Sus scrofa: one gene and its partner. The protein of the gene in region 2 interacts with the protein of the main gene of each other region in a biochemical or structural test. Links are inferred from orthologs where the notes say so. Each region holds a gene or a part of one and is shown on either strand. Other genes may lie near its edges.

Region 1 (9,981 bases), on a different chromosome or scaffold from region 2:
TTGTATCAGCACCACTCAGGGCATATTTCCCTTGTTCACCTTATCATCACAGGATGTGACACATAGTTGATGTGGTAACCAACCTTCAAGATGGTCCACAAATGATCCTTGCCCCCAATAGTCACACGCTTTCATCATCCCCTCCCACAATGAACAGAGCTGACCAGTAAGTGGCCAATAGGATATTGGTGACCATGTGTGACTTTCGAGGCTGAGGCATAAAAAGCATTCCTGCTTTCAGCCTGCCCTGAAGGATCACTTGTGCTGGGGGACGCCAGTGCCATGTCATGAGGACACTCCAGCAGGTGGACAGACCCACGTGGAGAAGAATGGAGGTCCCCAGCCAGCAACCAACATGAATTTGCCAACCATGTTTTTTTTTGGTTTTGGTTTTTAGGGCTGCACTCATACCATATGGAGGTTCCCAGGCTAGGGGCAGAATTGGAGCTACAGCTGCTGGCCCTTGCCACAGCCATAGCCGCACTGGACCCAAGCTGCATCTGCAAACTATACCACAGCTCATGGCAACACAGGACCCCTGACCCACTGAGCAAGGCCAGGAATCGAACCTTTGTCCTCATGCATGCTAGTTGGATTCATTTCTGCTGAGCCATGATGGGAACTCCCCACTTCTTTTTTTGTCATTTCTAGGGCCACTCCCATGGTATATGGAGGTTCCAAGGATAGGGGTTGAATCAGAGCTGCAACCTACACCACAGCCACAGCAACACCAGATCCTTAACCCACCGAGCAAGGCTAGGGATTGAACCCGCAACCTCATGGTTCTTAGTTGGGTTCGTTAACCACTGAGCCATGAGGGGAACTCTTTTTTTTTTTTTTTTTTTTTTTTTTTTAATAGTCACACCTGAAGCATATGGAAGTTCCTGGGTCAGGGCTTGAATTCGAGTCAGATGATTTAACCCACTGCATTGGGCCAGGGATCAAACTTGCTCCTCCACAGAGACCCAAGCCAATGCAGTCAGGTTCTTAACCCACTGCACCACAGTGGGAACTCTGTGAGTCACTTTGGAAGGGCATCTTCCCCACCTTGTCCTCAGAAGGCTGCAGCCCTGGGAGTTCCACTGGTGGCACAGCAAGTTAAGGATCTAGCGTTGTTACTGCTGTGGCTCCCCCTGCAGCTGTGGTGAATGTTTGATCCCTGGCCCAGATGAAGTCCCCAGCTGGCATCTGACTGCATCCTCATGAGACACTTTGAGCAAGAACTGCCCACCCAAACTGCTCCTGCATTACCGATTCACAGAATAAGAGATAATAGTCATTAAGCCCCCAAATTTCTACGTAATTTATTTCACATCGCTTACCAACAGAGTAGGTATTGGCCATGTTTGTTCTTGTTTTCTGTTTTTTGTCTATTTAGGGCCACATGTGCATCATATGGAGGTTCCCAATCTAGGGGTCAAATCGGAGCTGCAGCTGCCAGCCTACACCACAGCCAAAGGAACACTAGATCTGAGCCACATCTGCGACCTACACCACAGCTCACAGCAACGCCAGATCCTTAACCCACTGAGTGAGGCCAGGGATTAAACAAACATCTTCGTGGATCCTAGTCAGATTCCTTTCCACTGAGCCACTATGGGAACTCCGGTCACATTTTTTTTAATGATATACATCTTTTGTCTTTTTTTTTTTTTTAGGGGTTTTACCCACAGCATATGGAGGTTCCCAGCCTAGGGGTTGCACTGGAGCTGTAGCCACTGGCCTACACCACAGCCACAGAAGATCCAAGCCACATCTGCGACCTACACCACAGTTCACAGCAACGACAGATCCTCAACCCACTGAGTGAGGCCAGGGATCGGACCTGCATCCTCAAGGATGCTAGTCAGATTCAATTCCGCTGAGCCACAATGGGAACTCTTTTTTTGGTGTCTTTTGTCGTTTTAGGGCTGCACCAGCAGCATATGGAGGTTCCCAGGCTGGGAGTCTAATCGGAGCTACAGCTGCTGGCCTATGCCTGAGCCACAGCAACATGAGATCCAAGCTGCATCTGGGACCTACACCATAGCTCACCGCAATACCAGATCCTTAACCCACTGGGCCAGGCAGGGAATGAACCCGCAATGTCATGGTTCCTAGTCGGATTCGTTTCTGCTACGCCATGACAGGAACTCCGAGAACTCTTTTCAATGGTATTTTGACCTGGGATGAATTACTACCCTTTTCTGGGTCCCAGAGTCATATTGTAAAGTGGAGGAAAAGTCTATCTTTGAGGTTCACGGAGTATGTACCCACTGGATAAGATCAGAGCACATAGTAGGAGCTTAATGTACCACCAGCGGTGTAACCTCTTGTATGTGTGCCACACAGCCTGGATTTGAATCCTAGATTCACTACTTCTATGATATAAGACTTCGTTCAGGCTACTGATAATCTGTTGTACCTCAGACTTCTTAGCTATGGTATGGGACTATTAAATAAATTATCTACTCTCATAAGGGTTAGAGAAATAATCCATCCACACAAAGCCCATTTACCCTACATGAGGGGGCAGCCGTTTTTTTCCTTTTTTTGGCTGCACCCTTGGCATAGGGAAGTTCCTGGGCCAGAGATCGAATCCAAGCCTCAGGTGTGACCTATGCCGCAGCTGTGTCCTATACCATGGCTGTGGTAACAATGATCCTTTACCCACTGTGCCACAGCAGGAACTCATTTTTTTTTTTCTTTTTCACTGCCCTAGTCCTAGCACATAATTACTGAATCAACATGCATTTAGTAATTATTTGTTGAATGGATAGTAAAAATGCACTTTGCCTACAGAAAATACACATTAGCTATCACTAACCTACAAGGGCTTACTATTCCCCACCTGCTTCATATTATGATTTTAACTCCTACCATTTCCCACCCTCTCACTCTGTTCCAGTTGCCCTGCCCTCTTCGCGGGCTCCTCAGTTGTGTCAGTAAGCTTCAGGGCCTTTGCACCAGCTGTTTGTTCTCCTGTCCAGAAATGCTCCGTCTACCCAGTTATCTATGTAGCTTGTTTCTACAGTTCCCTTCAGATCTCTGCTCAATGGCATCTTCTCCGAGAGGACTTCTCTGGCCACTGCTGTCACCCTGGAGTGCCATATCCTGTTTTTTTGTCTTTTTTTTTTTTTTTTTTTTTTTTTTTGTTGTTGTTGTTGCTATTTTCTTGGGCCGCTCCCGCGGCATATGGAGGTTCCCAGGCTAGGGGTCAAATCGGAGCTGTAGTCACCGGCCTACACCAGAGCCACAGCAACGCGGGATCCGAGCCGCGTCTGCAACCTACACCACAGCTCACGGCAACGCCGGATCGTTAACCCACTGAGCAAGGGCAGGGACCAAACCCGCAACCTCATGGTTCCTAGTCGGATTCGTTAACCACTGCGCCACGACGGGAACTCCCATATCCTGTTTTAATTTTCCTCTATTTTTTTCCCCTGGGCCCTCCTCAATAGAATGTAAGCTCCCTCTGGACAAGACTATGTATTACTCGACACTCTTTCACAACACCTCCATTGCTGCGATTTCAGCACATGCTCCCTCGTTATTGCTGAATTAATAGACTCACAAACAAACGATCACTTGGGTATCCTCGCGGGTTCAGAAGCCCTGCAGTTTTTTGGCCGGGATTGGCAGCAGCCTCTGTCACGTGACTGGCTCTCGCCTGCCAGCCCGCCCGCTTTGGAGGCTTAGGAGTTCGACTTGGTTCCAGGCTCCAGGGCCGGGTGGCGGCGGTGGGGGCGGTACTGCGCAGGCGCTGTTCCCGGCGCAGGCGCAGACCCGGCCCGGGAGCGCGGCCGGCGGCGGTTGGCGGCGTGTGGGGCCGGCGGGCGGTTGCTGCGAACGGACCCGAGCGCAGGCAGCGAGAGCTGGCGCCATGGTGGAGAAGGAGGAGGCGGGCGGCGGTATCAGCGAGGAGGAGGCGGCGCAGTATGACCGGCAGATCCGTCTCTGGGGACTGGAGGCCCAAAAACGGTCAGGGCCAGTGCGGCTTGTGGGGCTGAGGGTTTGGAGGGGCGTCTGGCCTGAGGCGTTGGCGGCCCTCGGGGAGCCAGAGGGTCGAATTTGAAGAGAGGAGGTGGGAATCATGTACCCGGGCATGGTCGCCCGCTTGAGAGGACTGGAGGGTTTGATTTGGGATGTTTCCTCGGCAGGTATGGGAAGCGAGGACGTCCCAGGGTGGTGGGAAGGCCGTTCTGGGGGATTGGAGGCGTCTAGAGGGGGCGGAGGGAGAGCCCGGAGCGTTCGCGAGGATTCAAGACTCCGGGGCTCGGCGCTCGGAGGGAGTGATGTTGGAATTTAGATCGAGGTGAGGAGGAAGGCTTAGGGTATAGAAGGGGGCCAGGAACGCATGGAAAGGATGAAAGCGGGGGGGAGGTCATAGTTCATTCATTCATAGGTAATGGGAACGTCTTCTGTGCTGGCCGCTGGTGAGACTGGCGAACCGAGCAGATGCGAGCTTCCATTCATTCTTGTGGCCTCTAAAGGGTGGGCTAGTCTGAAAGAATGAGGGGTTTTGAGGTGTCTTGGAGCAGGTTATTTCAAGTGGGAGTCCTGACAGGTTTGAAGCGTCTAGGGGGGCAGGAGGACCTGAAGAGGTTGCTTGTGTCTAGATGTGGGGGCGTGTCCACAGAGGACGGGATTGGGCATCCTTGGGCATGGAGGAGAAATTGTCCGAGGGCGTGAGGTCTTTGAAAGAGGTGATTGATTTAATCAGCTATTGATTGAGCACTTGCCACGGGCACTGTTAATGGGCACGGAGCGTGGGTCAGTGAACTAGGCAGACTCCTTGCTCACCTGGAGCTTATATTCTACCCGAGGAGGCGGTAAACATAAAGAAATAATAAAATATTAAGGAATGTAAGTGCTAGAGAGACAAGGAGAAGAGGAGCAATAAAGGATGGTGAGGTGGGAGAGCTATTTTGAGAGGGGCCAGGGGAGGCTCTGAAGAGGTAACACTGAGCCTCCGACCTGTATGAAAGGAAAGAGCCATCTGGAAGGACCTTCCTGGTATAGAGAACAGCAAGTGTAACATCCTGGAGGCCAGAGCATGCTTGGCACATTGGAGCCTCAGGGTGACTGGAACCAAAGGAGTTGAGTAGCTTTTTTTATTATAAATGTGCTGGGAAACCCGTTGGAGAGTTTGAGCGTAGGCGTAACGTGATCTGATTTGTGTTTGAAAAGCATCACTCTTGTTGCATTGGAGAATAGGTTGATGTGGGCAGAGGTGGGAGTAAGGATTCCAGTTAGGAGGCTGCTGCTGCAGTAATCCCCTTGAGACAGAAGTAATGGTGGCTCGGAACTCTAGGAAAGGGTCAAAAATAGATTCTGGATAATTTGAAGGTAGAGGGGACAGACTTTGCTCAAGGGTTCATTGTGTGGGGTATGAGAGTCTGAACTCAAGGAAGGTTCCAAGGTTTTTGGCCTGAGCAAGTGGGAAGATGGAAGTGCCCTTCCTGACGGAGGTGGGGGAAACTGCAGGTTTGGTGGGGTGGGGGAAGAATCGGGGGTTCTCTTTGGGACTTAGGTTTTTTGTTGCTGTTTGTTTGTTTTGGCTGTGCTTGTGGCATGCAGAGGTTTCTGGGCCAGGGATTGAATCCTCGCTGCAGCAGTGTCCTGAGCTGCTCCAGTGCCAGTGCCAGATACTTAACCAGCTGAGTCACAGGAGAAGTCCTGGATTATGTTTTAGATGTTTACTATACATCTCAGTAGAAATATGCGAATGGTTGAGTTCATAGCTGCGGGCTGGGTGATGGGGAGTCATTATGTGATTGAGGACAGAGTGTAGAATTAATTGATCTAAGGGTTGGGGAAGCAGGCAAGTCAGGAGAACTTAGTTTGAGGGGTAGAATTTTTTGGTGAGAGAGAGTGTGCGTGGTGGGTGGGGTGAGGTTGGGTTACTTCAGGTTCATTTCCGTTGTGCAGGGTCTTCTTGTGATTGGGCACATCATGAGGCATTAGCGAGCCTTGGTCTGAGGATTAAAGGCACCTGAAATAGAAGATGGGAAATTAAATGATGAGAATGGGCCTGAAGACCCAGGTGGGATTGATGGAGTTTAGGGATTGCTGTTTGAAGGATTGGGGTGTTGGGAGGCCCTGAGTGTACCAGAAGAGTTGATCCAAGAGCTTGGGGCAGCAGGTAGTTTTGTTTTGAGTGAGGATTAAACTGGAATTAATGAGGGACCTGTCAGAGGGGTAGAAATGGATGATTTATCTGAAGAGCAATAAAAAGGCATGGGGGTGGGGCTTTGAGGGGGGAGATGACCTAAGGGGCAAATCAAAATTGGGGCATGGAAATGAGAGGTGGGAGTTAATTCTGAGGAAGTGAAGACATACTGAACTCAGTGGAGAACCTGAAAAGGATTGACTGAGGGTCCTGGGAGGAAAGGAAGGGGTTACTTATAAATTGGAGTCTTTAGATTTGTACACAGTCTTACAGAGTTGATGAAAGTGCTCTCATGTTCATTTTTCAGCTGAGTCTCTTAGTAGCTCTTCGGGGAAGGAAGGGCAGTGATTTCCTCCTCTATACAGAAAGGAAGGAGGAAATTGGCTTGCCTCTAAGGGCGTCCAGGATGGAATGAGAGACCTTTGGGCACTGGGGTTCCTTTGCAAAGTGGAAAGTAGCCTGGGAATTGACAGACTGCATTCGGGCCACAGTTTTGCCTCTGACTCTGTACTAGTGGACCAAGGTTGTCAGAATTGTAAGTGAGAGAAACACAAAGGGCCTTCAAGAGAACGTATACAGTCTGGAGGTTAAAAACTATCTCTTATACAGTGTTTTAATTTTTTTTTAAAGTTAGTTGCCAGCATTTAAATATCTAGAGAATTGGCTGAATTTGGGACAATTTGAACATCAGAAAGAATAAAGTTGACTTCATGTAGAAATATTTAATAACTTAGAAATATATGATGTGTCTTCTGATGTGATGACACAAGAATCTCAGTGCATCATCTCCGATGTTTTCCTGCCAAATGTATGTTACACTAATCATGCTTTTTGAGAACAAGGGAGCAAATTAAAGGACACCATTGAGGTAATGATAAGATGTCCCAAATGTGAGACATTTTACAAGACAGTTGCCCTGATTCTCTTCCAGAAGTCATTGTTATGGGGGAAAAAACAAAACAAAACAAAGAAGGGACTGTTATAGATTGAGAGTAAAGAAGAGTGGAGCCAAATGCAAGGTGTGACCCTTGACTGGATCCTGGTTCAAAGATAGTGTTTTTCTAAAAAACATGTTTTAGACAATAGGGGAAGTCTGAATATTCAGCCCTATTAGGTGACATTTGGGAATTATTTTGTAGACATGGTAATAGTGTGGTTATGAAGGAGAATGTCATTTTTGGAGCTATGTGCTAAAGGTATGAAGTTCCATGATGTAGGTTTGTGGGTAAAGCCAGCAGGGCAAGATGTTAACTATTCTTCCTACTTTTCTGTATGTTTGAAATTTCTTTTTCTTTTTTGGCCATCCTGTGGCATATGGATTTCCTAAGGATCAGATTGGAGCTGCAGTTGCAGCCTACTCTGTAGCTGTGGCAATGCCAGGTCCTTAACCCACTGTGCTGGGCCAGGATCGAACGTGCCAGCCCTGTCAGGCCACACAGGAGGAACCCGTGTGTGTTTGAAATTTCTTATAATGAGAAATTGGGAAATGTTTCAGTCTCCGTCCTAGCCACCACCTGCCCCCCTCACGTATGGCGAGTTCATAGTTTCTGATTTCTGTCTTTTGAAAAATGGTAAGGTCAGACATCCCCACATTACATTACATTGGTTGGAACTAAGTAGAGGCCTCCTCTTTTTTTTTTTTTGGCTGTGCCCGGGCATGTGAAAGTTCCCAGGCCAGGGATTGAACCTGTGCCACAGCAATGACAATGCTGAGTCCTTAACCACTAGGCCACCAGGGAATTCCCAAGGCTGCCTCTTATACCCAGCACATGGTCCCTCTACTTGGCCATTGTCTCCATCAGTTCTGTCTCACCCATTGGTAAAATTGCCTGGCCCCTGTAAGCATGTGAGTTTGCATCTCTGGCAGTGCTACCTAGCCCACTTTATGGATGAGGTTCAGGGAAGAGAAGCCAACTATCCCAGGGTCACATACCAATAGAAGTTGGACTTGAATCTGAGCCACTAACTCAGGTTTACTTCTGTGACACCTCGTTTGCTGCACAACGGGGGCTCATTCTTTTAGATTAACTTAAAGGAGAGGGTTGAAGCTTGCAGCGGTGTATGTTCTCAGACTGTGTCCTTCAGCCATTTTTGCACTGCCTTTCACAGCAAAGGCTAGTTTTTCTTCTTTCACTTGACAGCAGTTTATCCCCTGAGAGGAAGAGAGGGTGACTGGGAAGAGAGAGGTAGATGATAAGCTCCATGAGGGCAAGTGCTTTATAAATGTCCAGTAAGTAAGATTTGGGTTTCTCTTGGTCTCTGTTAAATTTCCAGTGCTTGCAAGTGTGTAGACGTTCAGATATTTGTTGAGTGAATGGAATGACTATACACTGCAGAGACCTCGGAAGCCTAGAAACATGGGTTCAGTTCCCAGCCCTGCTGTCTGTGACCTCGGGTGAGTCACACAGTTTCTTGGCCTTAGGTTCCACTTCTGCAGAAGGGGGCAGTGAGTGTGACTAAATCTTTAAGGACTCTTTCTTTTCTTTTTTTTGCTTTTTTGGGCTGTACCCACAGCATATGGAGATTTCTAGGCTAGGGGTTGAATTGGAGCTGTAGCTGCTGGCTTACACCACAGCCACAGCAACGTAGAATGTGAGCCGTTTCTGTGACTTACACCACAGCTCACGGCAATGCCAGATCCGTAACCCACTGAGCAAGGCCAAGGATCAAACCTGCGTACTCATGGATACTAGTCAGATTCATTAACTGCTGAGCCATGATGGGAACTCCAAGGACTCTTTCCCCTGTGAAATTTTGACTTTATAGAAAAGGGACTCTAAAAATTTCCCTGTTTTCAAGCGCTCATTACAGAATACTGCTACTGTTCAAAGAGCACTACAGGGAGTTCTGATTGTGGCTCAAGGGAAATGAATCCGACTAGTATCAATGAGGATGCAGGTTCAATCCCTGGCCCCACTCAGTGGGTTAAGGATCTGGTGCTGCCGTGAGCTGTGGTATAAGTCAGAGATGTGGCTTGGATCCCATGTGGCTGTGGCTGTGATGTAGGCTGGCAAGTGTAGCTCCGATTAGACCCCTAGCCTGGGAATTTCACATGGCACACATGCGATCCTAAAAAGCAAAAAAAAAAAAAAAAAGCACTTTGGTTGGTTCCATGGGCGACTATTTGCCATGAAAGTGACTGAGCAGGTGAGGTCAATCCTGGTTGTTTCTCATAAGGACCAGTTTTTGTCGTGGTTGATAGTGGCTAATAGTTGAATTTGAATCTCAGCTCCAGAACTTCTTTGTGAGTTAACCTTGGATACATTTCTTAACTTCTCTGTGCTTCAGTTTCCTCACTTATCAAATGAAGATGACAGAATCTATGTAATCTAATTGAGAAAAAAATGAATAGAGTTTATACAGAGAAAGCATTCAGTGCATTATATCTACAGTTATTTGCCAAGTATAAATCACCAGCAACAAGAGAGGAGAAACTAAGTAGGAAATAGGTTGAGATAAATGACATAAACAGGGAATGAGTGGAAACTCCAGAAGGACAGGGAAGACTGTAGGAGCAGATTTGCCCAAGCAGATCAAGGTGGCAAATAATCATAAATACAATGAATCAACAGTTGGATGGAGCAGGATTGTAGATTTAAATGAAAAGTACTGTACTTCTGGTTAAGTGAAGAAGAAAGTATTTTTTTGAAGGAAAAAATGGTCAGATCTGCCAAATGGCTCCGTCATTTATCTGGCCACACTGACCAGAAACCTAGGAGTTCTTTATTCGTCTCTGTCCTTTCTGTCCACATCCAGTCTATTGGGAAGTCCTCTAGGCTCTGCTTCAAGCTTTTTCTCCTTCATCTTTCTTCATTTATTAGTCCAAACCA
Region 2 (10,066 bases):
GCCTCCCTCCCACGGCGTCTGCGGGGAGGCAACACTCTGTTAGGTGAGCAGGGGTCTCCGCGGCCGGTCTGGCCCAGCAGGGGCTGCGCTTGCTCCCGCCGTGCCCCGGACCGAGAGAACCCCGCCGACCCACCCCGCGCACCGTCAGGGCCTCCGTGGGCCCCAGGAAGAGGTGCCAAGGGCCTTCCCTCAGGCCCCCGGGTCCCCCTCCTGCGCGTCGAGGCCACGGATGGAGGCCACGGAGCCTCTCATCACCCAGCACAGAAGGGGGCGCCTCCTTCCTCCTGGGTCACCGCACTCTTCCTCCCAAATGCTTGCCATGTGCCGGTCCGAAGAGACCCGGGCACACTCAGATGGGCCGAGGGGCAGCCCCGTGGCCAGGCATGAAGGGCACGCTGGGCCCCACACAGCCAGCTCGGTGGCCGACGCCCGGCCTCCACACCCAGGGGCAGGCAGGCGTCCCAGGGAGCGTCACCCCGGCCAGGCTGCCTCAGCCTGGGCACCTCCCTGGCCCCCGGCCGCGCGGCGCCTCCCTCCCCATCTGCCACAGCCCAGGTCCTACCTGATTCAGGACATGCCCAGGGACCACCTGTCATCCTGTCTTTGAGGTGCCCCCCCCCCACCAGGGACAGGACCAGGGCTCACGTGACCGTCCCCAGCGTCCCGTACACCTGAACCCGAGCCCTCTCGGGGGCCCCCTCTTACCCCCTTCTTCCCGGGAATGGCGCACTCCCAGTTCATGAGGTTCATTGTGCCGTCGGGGTTTTTTGTGGGGACAGCCACGAACCCCTGCGAGAAACCACACAGGCCCGTCAGCGCCGCGGCAGTGGCCCCCCCACTCCCAGAACAAGCCCTCTGGCTGCGCTGCAGGGGCCAAAGGGCCGGCCCGTGGGCACGAGGGTCTCCGGGGAACCGGCCCGCGCCCCCCGCCCCCCGCCGAAGCAAAGCTTTCCTTACAAAGGGGTGGTCTTTCCTCCAGGCCTTCCTCTCCTGGGCGAGTCTGCTGAGGGCGATCCCCGACATCTCCAGTCCCTGCAAGAGACGTGCGGGGTGAGCGGTGAGCCAGGGCGGCCCGGCCTAGCAGGCTCACGTCCAAGGAGCAGGCCCCCAAAGGGCCCCACCCGGCCCCACGCGCCGCCGCCCCGCACGCTGCCCTGCCCGCCGGCTAGACGCTCGCGCCCCTGGGTCCCGGCCTGTGCAGGTACCTACCGGGTCAACCTCCCACCCCCGGAGGGGCAGAGACAAGACCCCGGGCCCAGGTCACGGCTGCTAGAGGCCGCACAGGGAGGGGACACCGTGTGCTCCCAGCAGCCACCTGCACGACAGTCCTGCCTCTCCGGCTGTGCCGCCTGCCGGAATGAAAGGGACCCCACTTTCACCACCAGACCCCACACGAGGGGCAAGGACAAGACAGGAGGTGTCGAGCCCCTGAGCCCTGGGAAGCCAGGGGCGGGGCCGCATCCTTTGCTGCAGCTGGGGTGCTGTCAGGCCACCAGCACAGAATCGGGGGCTCGGAATCTAGGCTCAGGCCCCGCCGGGAGGAAGGGAAGCAGAGGAAAGCTCCCCGGACAGAGGGCAGCTTAAGGAGGGCAAGGCCAGCACCCCGCTGCGACTGTCGCCAGGCCTGAGCGTCTTCACTGGCCCCACCCCAGGATCACTGCCACTTCCGCTGCCAAGAGCAAACCAAGACTGCCTCCCATTTGCTTTAGGAAAGACGACAAAAAGGGGAGCAGGCCCACTGGAGGGGGGCTGCTGGAAAGCCTGCTCATTCCTCGTGTGGGGCTCCCCCTGCACCTCCGGACCACAGACCCTCCAGGCTTGGTGCCCGCCGCTTCCGCATCACGCAGGCCAGGCACAGGGCGCTCGACTGTAACCCCTGCTGTCCCTGAGGACGCAGCCCTTAGGGGACACAGAACTTGCTGGAGAACTTGACCCTCATTGTGTCCAGTGCTCCTCAGTGTCTTTGACAATGTTAAGGATCCTCAGGTCAAGTGCTTCCGCTACGCAAGGCTTTGACAAGTCGGCGGGGGACCTGGGGGGGGCATCCTGGAAGCACATGGGCAGCGGATGCGGCCACAACGTGGCACTCAACCAGTCAAGGCCAAACTCCTGCTACAGACGGCACCGGAAACCAGCCCTGCCAGCCCTGTCCCAGACCCAGGACCCCAGCCTCAGCACAGCACTGCCGACTACCAAGCCTGAGAAGGGAGGATCCAGAAAGTACCCCGCCGCCGAGGGGGGGCACACCTCAAACACAGGGGGTCCGCCCGCCGCCTGCTGCTCACAGCAGCCCCGGCCCCCTAATCACTTGGCGCGCCCAACCCCACACCCCTTTTGGCCCCAGCTGCTCCAGCAGCACAAATCACACCTTGACCCCACATCTGCTCCTTGGCTGCTCTGTCGCCAGGCCCCCAACACAAACACACCCCTGTCTGTGCAGGAGGGTGGGGCTGCGGCAACCATTCAACCGCAGACCAGCAGGTCGGCGAGGCCGGGATGGCAGCCTCAGTGGGTGTTTATGACACGGACGGGCCCCAGGCCCAGGGGCCCCATGGAGCCGGGAACTCTGGGTGTCCTTTGGGGATCACCGTGGCAGCCTCCAGCACGACACAGGAGCCCGGGTCTCGGAAGCAGGGTGAGTTAGTGCAGACCACCGGACCAACTGCATGTGGTGCACTGTCCACAAGCAGGTGTGCTCGTGCCACCATGAGGAACAGAGACGGTCAAAACTTGAAGCCCCTGCCACTCAGGAGGCATGGGAACAGGTGCAGCTCCACCCCAGCACTCTGAGCACACCTTCCACAGGCTCTCACCCCGCCAGGCTTCAAGATTAAGTCCCAGACAAGTAACACCAGTCCTGCACCCAAAACAGAACAGCTTTTTTTTTTTTTGGTCTTTTTAGGGCGGCACCTGCGGCCTACAGAACTTCCCAGGCTAGGGATTCAATCAGACCTACGGCTGCTGGCCTACGACACAGCCACAGCAATGCAGGATCCAAATCACATCTGTGACCTACGCTGCAGCTCACAGCAAGGCTGGATCACCGAGCGAGGCCAGGGCTCAAACCTACGTCCTTATGGACACTAGTCGGGTTTGTTACCACTGAGCCACAATGGGAACTCCCCGCCTGGGATCTGTCTGTTCACACAACACAAACTGAGGAGAGACAGAGTTGTGGCTGTGCAGAAGGCCCACGCAGGAGGAAGACGTGTGCTGGGAAGTGCTAGGTGCCAGGACACAGGAAGCAGGACGATGGCAGGGAGGCACCCGGTCCTACAGGGTCAGGTGCCCGCGTGGGCACAAGCTGCAGCAATGCAAGGGACTGTTCCAGGCGGGCTCACCAGGAACAGAAAGAAGAGCCAGGAGGGTCACTGGCTGCGAGGGCCAGGGACCGCCCAAGGGAGGCGGGGGCAGTGACCCCGAGTCTGAAAAGCTTTCCTTCCCTTGACTGCCTCCAACCCTTCACTTTTTTTGGTCTTTTTTTAGAGCTGCACCTGTGGCATATGGAGGTTCCCAAGCTAGGGGTTAAATTGGAGCTGTAGCCGCTGGCCGACACCACAGCTCAGCAACGCCAGCTCCTTAACCCACTGAGCCGGGCCGGGGACCGAACCTGCATCCTCCGGGATACTAGTCGGGTTTGTTAACCTCTGAGCCGGGACGGGAACTCCCCAACCCTTCACTTCTAAACAGAACCCTGCCCCACCCACTCCAGCAGCTAGTGGGGCTGCCCCTCCCGCAGGGCTTGAGGAATCTGGAGGGTCTCTGCAGCCCCTGGGCAGCCAGGGCAAAGGCGGCAGCAGGCGGACACGTCTGAATTAACGGAGGCAGGAGTCCAGCAAGCGGCTGCTCCCCGTGAGTCTGCACCTGGCCAGGCGCTGACCATGGGTCATGAAGGCCCAGGGCACCACTGTGGACACTGAGGAGCCATGGATACTAAATGGGCAACTGAGGCTGCTCGGGGAGGAGGGCAGGGGTCACGGCTTGTCCAGGATGCAGACCAGGCCAGGGGGGCCATCCTGAGTGCTGCCTGCCTGCTGACCGTGCGCCAGCACCCGGCCACAGGCCACCTCTTCTGCTGACAAGGGACAAAGTTGCCTCTGCAGGCTGTCCCAGAGCCCAGCTGTGGCTGCGCCAAAGGTAATGGGGGGGGTCCCACAGGAACTCCTGCCTCCCCTTCCTCAGGGGTGCCAGGGGACCAGACCAGGCAACAAAAGGGTGAAGAGCCACAGGCCCAGGCAGAGAGGCCTGGCCTTCCCTTATCCGGGAGAAAGCACCCAATTTGTTACATTTTAATGACAAGGGGAGCTACTCCTTCAGAATCCCACTTAAAATTAAATCTGCCTTCCCCAACCAAGAGTCACCCGAAGCAGCTGAATGTTAGCAGACACTCCAGAGATGGACATTGTTAGGATGCAAGGATGAAATACCCACGAACCGCTAGCCTGCAGGACAGCAGCTGGGATGTCCAGGCAGATTCTGGAAGTCTCCACGCCACCTTCCTCCAGAGTGAGCTGTGCCTGAATCCCCTCTTCTTAGATCACACGCTGCGATTTGACAGCAAAGCCTGCAGAGCCACTAACTGGCTGCACATGCGGGCGAGATGCTTCTCTCTCCCAGCCTCAGCCTTCTCAGCTGTGCGATAAGCCACAGCACTGTGAACTCACGGGTTGGCCCAGGGTGAAAGTGAGCAAGGATCAGCAGCCCAGGATGGGCCCTTCCCACCCAAACATCAGCTTCCCAGGGGGAAGGCATTTGCTTCACCTGATGCAGGCACCCTGCACTCGGGAGACTCTCCAGCCCAGGTGCACGCCCTGTTCTTGCCCGTTTCTGCAGCCAGGCCCCAAATCCCGAGCAAGACTATCGCAACAAGATGCAGAGTTCACCCCCTAAACCACCCGGCGGGCCATGAGCAAGTCAGGGAAAACTTGGGATCCACTCCCCTCTTCTGGTGGGAAGACTTCCAACCCAAAAAGTTTTCCTTAGTAGCAAGAAACGTTTGAGGTTAGGGGTCTGGAAAGGGCACCAACTCTGCAAACACAGAACAACAACTTTGCAACCCGAGGAACTAAGCTTGTTTTCAAACCACACAAACCAAACCAGTGAATTCTGTGATTGAGAGGCAGGTGCAGGCCGTTACCGCGAGCCCAGCTAATCATTCTCTGGCCTTCCTGCTCCTGGCTCAACTACCACTTCCAGCCTCCGTGCACTTGGTACAAAGCAGTCCCAGGAGGAAAATTCCCCGTCAAAGGAAGCGCGGGTGCCCAGGGTCCCACCAACTGCGGCCGAGGCTCCGGAGGCGCAAGAACTCGGACTTGTTTTGATTTACAGACACCACACACCACCCCCAAACGGGCCGGCGCTGCCGCAGCGCGAGGCTTTGCGCTCTTTGTGCGATGCGTCGTCTCCAGGGCTGGCACACGCCACAGGTTCGCGCGCAGACCGTGACCCCGGAAACGCTCCGCCTCGGCGGAGGGCTCGGCGCCCGCTCGCGCTCCTGTCAGCGCAGCCCGAGCGGCGGGCGCCGTCTGCGGCCCGGCCGCGATGCGACCCGCCCCGAGCGCGCGCCCGAGTGGACGCCCCCGCCGTCTGGGGCCGCGGAGCCCAGCGGGCCGGCCCACGCCGCGGCGTCAACACACCGGGGCAGGCCGGTTCCCGGGAGCGGGCCCGGCCGGGCCGCGGGTGGAGGGAGCCCGCCTGGCCGGGCCCGACGGCGGCGGAGGCCCCAGCCCGACAAGGCCCGGTCCCCGGCCCGCCCGTCTCGCCGCGCTCACCTCGGGCGGCCGCGGCCCGGCGAGTGAGGCGGACGAGGCGGCGGCGGCGGCGGCGGCGGCGGCGCTCCTTTGTCTCGGGACTTCCCTCCCGAGCCCGCTCCGCGCGCAGCCCGAGCGCTCGAGGACCCCGGCGCGGGCGGGGCGGGGCGGGGCCTGCGGAGTCTGCCCGCCGCGCGCCTGCCCCGCGCCCCGCCGCTGCCGCCGCACGCCCCGCGCCGTCCACGTCGCTGTGCGCCGCCCGCCGCCCGTGCCCCGCCGCCGGGCGCCCGCGCCCCGGGCCAGGCCTGGGAGCCCAGCCCCGGGGGCGGCTTTCCAGTCAGGCGGCGCCCTGGACACCTGTGCCCTTAAAGGAGCCGCGTCCCTTATGTGAGGGAGCGTCTGCAAACTCCCCTTCGCGGGGCCCGCGTCTATCCGAGGACACGCCGGCGTGCGGCGGGGCAACCAGGAGGCCGAGATCTCCAAGGGCCCCCCGGATGCCCCGCGGGCACCTCCCCGGGCACGGGTCCTGGAGGTCTCCTTGGGGCTAGGGCCCGGGGCCGGGGAGCAAAGATCATTGAGGCCTAGGGATCCCCGAAGCGTCGCAGCACGGTGACAACCCCTCGCGCGCGGCAGGCCGTGAAACTCCTTGCAATTGGCCAGTTCGGGGCTCAGGGCGGGGCGTCTGCCGAATCTGCCCAATGAGCTGACCCCGTACAAAAGGTAGCGTGGCTGCCCGACCGATGGGAGGAGAAGAGCGGACGCTCCCTAACCCAGGGCTGGCCCTGGGGGAATGAAAGGGAAAACCTGACATTACTAATGGAAAACCTCTCCAACTGCAAGTTCTGCTTCTGTAAGCCCCGCTTGCTCAGCGCCCCCCCATGATCATGTGACCACTAACAGACCCACACCTAAAGCTGGAACATTCCCTGCCGCCGGCTCCTCCAGTTCCCACTCCGGTCCACCCCTCCAAGCGTGGACCCAGAAGAACTGGCCTGTAAAAGCCTGTAGCACCCCTGTTCGGGGCCTGGGTTCTGGAGAGCAATCTTCCCCAGGCCGGCCGGGTATGAGAGCTAAATTCTCCTCCTCTCCCAGTGTCGCTTGGTTTCTCGCTGGTCGGTGCTGCACGTGGAGCTGTAACATTTCTGGAGGCCCCAGCGAGACCCCAACCGTTCTGGCCCTTTGAGCCACCGGGGCTGCGGTGAAGCTGCAGGAAGGCTGGGGAGCTCCGGAGGCGAACGAGGCGGTGCTCCACCCGACGGTATTTCGGGTCCTCCTTCGTGGCGGTGCTCCAGTCCTCCCAATGGCCGAACCCCAACCGGACTCGGTGGAGAGACGGACCAACTCCCAAGCAAGACTAGTTAAAGCTCCGGAATAAGGTAAGGCCCCGAGGCCAGTCCCCGTCAGGTCCTGCCTACTGGCAGAAGAGGAGACCTACGTCTTCCAGTCTGACGACCCCAGGAAGGGACCTCCCAAGGGGGAGGTCTGTGACGGCTGAGTGAATGCATGAGTGACTGTGGCCTGATACGATTGCATCTCAGGTTCAGTTGTGTGGCTCCACTGTTTCCACTACGGGGTCCCAGTGGGTCCTAACCTGCGGTTCCATGGTAACCTCATACGGTTTACAGCTGCGTGGGACTCTGAGGATTCTCTAACCTCCCTGCGAGTTGGATCCAGGTTCGGGGTTTATACGAACCAGCCAATTGCTAAGAGGCACCTAAACTCCCTAGAGAGAGGTGGCCAGGCAGACATCTGAATGTGTGCTCCATGAAGGGGCATCCCCTCCTTGTCTTGCTTGCCACAGCCTTGCAGGGGGAAACCCAGGTGGGATATTAGCCCTTCGAGACCACCCTCACATGAGTCGAAGACCCCTTTGCCCTCGGCGATTACAAAGGAGAGGTTCTTCAAAGAAATCTTGAATTTGACCTTATCCCCAGAAATCCAGGAATCTTGGCCCGAATCCTGGGTGGACCTCGGGATTGTTCATTCTGCCTGCTCTCAGAACCCCAGGAGCTGAGTAAAGGGGATTTTTGGTTGCAGCCACACTAGGAGATCCCCCTTCTAGTCCACCTGCTTTGTCGTCCACCCACCATCCTGAGATCGTGTTACGTTAGCTCCAGATTCAGGGAAGACTGCATCCAAAGACCCTTGAGTTTCATTGAAGCCTTAGAATATTCCCAAGAACTCGCCCCAAGGGCCAAGACCCGGAGTGGTTAGCATCCTTAGTGGCAAAGCAAGTGCTTGCCCCCCGGCACCCCTCCCCCGCCATAGAGTGGGCGGAGCGGGGGTCGCTCTGCTTTGGGGAGTGGAGGAGGCAACAGTAAAAGGGACATCCGCCACGGAAACTGAAGCAGGCTCCTAGCTGTGGGCAGTAGATCAGGACCTAACACCACGGGGGCACCTAAATCTAAGCCCACGGCTTAAACTGCATGATCAAGAATTTCAAGAAGGGCTTTTGGGGGGACTATGGCGTCGGAATGAACCCTGGACAACGCCACACCCCGTGTGAGCCAAAGTGGCCCTCCTTTGGAGTGGGATGGCCTTCAGAGGGCACGCCAGACATGCCCACAGGAAGGGCGGCCTCTCGGGTGGTCACCGACACCCCAGGACACCCCGATCAGTTCCCATACATAGGACTTTGCCTCCCTGGGTCCGGTTCTGCACCAATGGCCAGGGACAATGTAGGATCCTTGTGGCCCAAGCGCCCTCGGAAAAAAAAGAAGGACCGGCTAAACCTTTCCTACAAGGAGACCCAGGAGACGACACCCCTCCAGCCCCGCCGCCTCCGCCCTGTCTTCCCACGGCTCCACCCTTTCTTGTGCAACCACCACCCCAACAGTTGCCAAACAGTCCACCTCCCTCTGTGTCTCCACCAGTCCCACAACCGCCATGGGCCCCAAGTCCAGCGCCAAAGGGAAGACGACTCCGCTGGGCTCAGCAGTCCGCACAAATGACTGCAGCCTTCCAAGCTCCCCTGTGGGAGATGTGGGGCCCCCAACAAGCAAATGGTGATGGCGCTGGGCCCTCCCGTTCTCTATTACCAGCCCTTCAGCACAACCGACCCCCTGAACTGGAGGCGCCTCACCCAGCTCACTCCGAAAATCCATCTTCCAAGCCCACCAGCCAACCTGGGGCGACACCCGTCAACTCCTCCCTACCTGCGCCAGCACCAAGGAGGGGTCTGCAAGTGGCTCCACGGACAGCCTCCTGCAGGCACCCTTGACCTTGAGGGGTGGGCACAGAGGGCAGCTCCAGAAAACAGACCTGACTGGGGCTTCAACACTCAGGCCGGGTGGGCGCCCTGGGGTGCCGTCGGAATGCTCTCCTTCACGGCTGCGGGCCGGAGCCAAAAGCCACCCATGTGACAAAGACGACGACCGTGCTGATCCAGAAATCCGACGAGACACCGACGGACTTCTACGAGAGGTTGTGTGAGGCCTTGCAGACCTTCCCTCCCTTGGATCCTGAGGCACCTGGGCATCAGCGAATGGTTAATGCAGCCTTTGTGGCCCCGTCTTCCAGCCACATGCTTGTAAGACACAAGTTGGACGGCTTAGCTGGGATGAACGCGTCACAGTTGCTAGAAACAGCAGGGAAGGTTTTTGTGAGCCAAGATGGCAAGCCCTGCGGGAAGCCGGAAGGCAGATGAAACGAAAGGTGTCCCTGAGGGCGGCCGCACCAGGCAACCCCGAGCCCAGCAGGTGGCCTCGGCCACCAGGCAGAAGGGAGCAGGAAGGAGCCGCCCTTGAGACGAGGGCAACGTGCATGTTGTAAAGGAGATGGGACACTGGAAAAGCAAACGCCCGCAGCAAAAGGGGGGCCCCCTGAGAAAAGGAGCCTCGTCCAGTGGAGGAAGGTGCTGAGCAGAACCGATTGGGCACGGCCTCAGCGGCCTGGGCTGGAACCAAGTCCGCGCACAATCCGTCTTTGCCTTCAGTTTATCTCCAGTGTCTTGCATCATCTTCAGCATCAACAGTCTCAAGTCTTTTTCCTGGAGGCTGAGAATCTCCTGATCACTTAACTGATTTTCTGGGGGTTTTTCCTTTCTCCCTCGTCTGAGTTATAGTTCTCTGTCTTCTCATTTCTATAGGTTTTTGGTGTGACCTTTTTACAGATAATAGAGTTGTTGCCTCTCTTGCTTCTGGCATCTGTCCCCCTTGTGGGGGCCTGCTGCAGGCTTCCTGATGGAAGGGACCTGGAACAGTCAGATCAGGGGACCCTGGACTCCTTGCTCCTGGGTCCCTGGGAGCCCGCGGTTGAAGTGATGACGGGGGACCAACCGGTGACATTCATGGTGGACACTGGTGCTGGACACTCAG

Evidence for each region. The genes of interacting proteins can lie anywhere in the genome.
Region 1: of the proteins of UBE2I (region 2) and SAE1, one has a biochemical effect on the other in vitro, tested with the Homo sapiens proteins (6 studies listed by BioGRID, with this or other methods). The link is inferred for Sus scrofa from reciprocal best matches to the Homo sapiens genes UBE2I and SAE1.

What each region holds. Positions count from the first base shown.
Region 1 is NC_010448.4:52,953,714-52,963,694, forward strand, and holds the start of SAE1 (SUMO-activating enzyme subunit 1), read left to right. Parts: upstream 1-3,760; 5' UTR 3,761-3,862; coding exon 3,863-3,960; intron 3,961-9,981. UniProt on the Homo sapiens protein: The heterodimer acts as an E1 ligase for SUMO1, SUMO2, SUMO3, and probably SUMO4. It mediates ATP-dependent activation of SUMO proteins followed by formation of a thioester bond between a SUMO protein and a conserved active site cysteine residue on UBA2/SAE2.
Region 2 is NC_010445.4:40,563,051-40,573,116, forward strand, and holds the start of UBE2I (SUMO-conjugating enzyme UBC9), read right to left. Parts: upstream 5,892-10,066; 5' UTR 5,772-5,891; intron 1,350-5,771; exon of another isoform or gene 1,210-1,349; intron 1,033-1,209; 5' UTR 1,024-1,032; coding exon 958-1,023; coding exon of another isoform or gene 790-957; coding exon 706-789; intron 19-705; coding exon 1-18. UniProt on the Homo sapiens protein: Accepts the ubiquitin-like proteins SUMO1, SUMO2, SUMO3, SUMO4 and SUMO1P1/SUMO5 from the UBLE1A-UBLE1B E1 complex and catalyzes their covalent attachment to other proteins with the help of an E3 ligase such as RANBP2, CBX4 and ZNF451.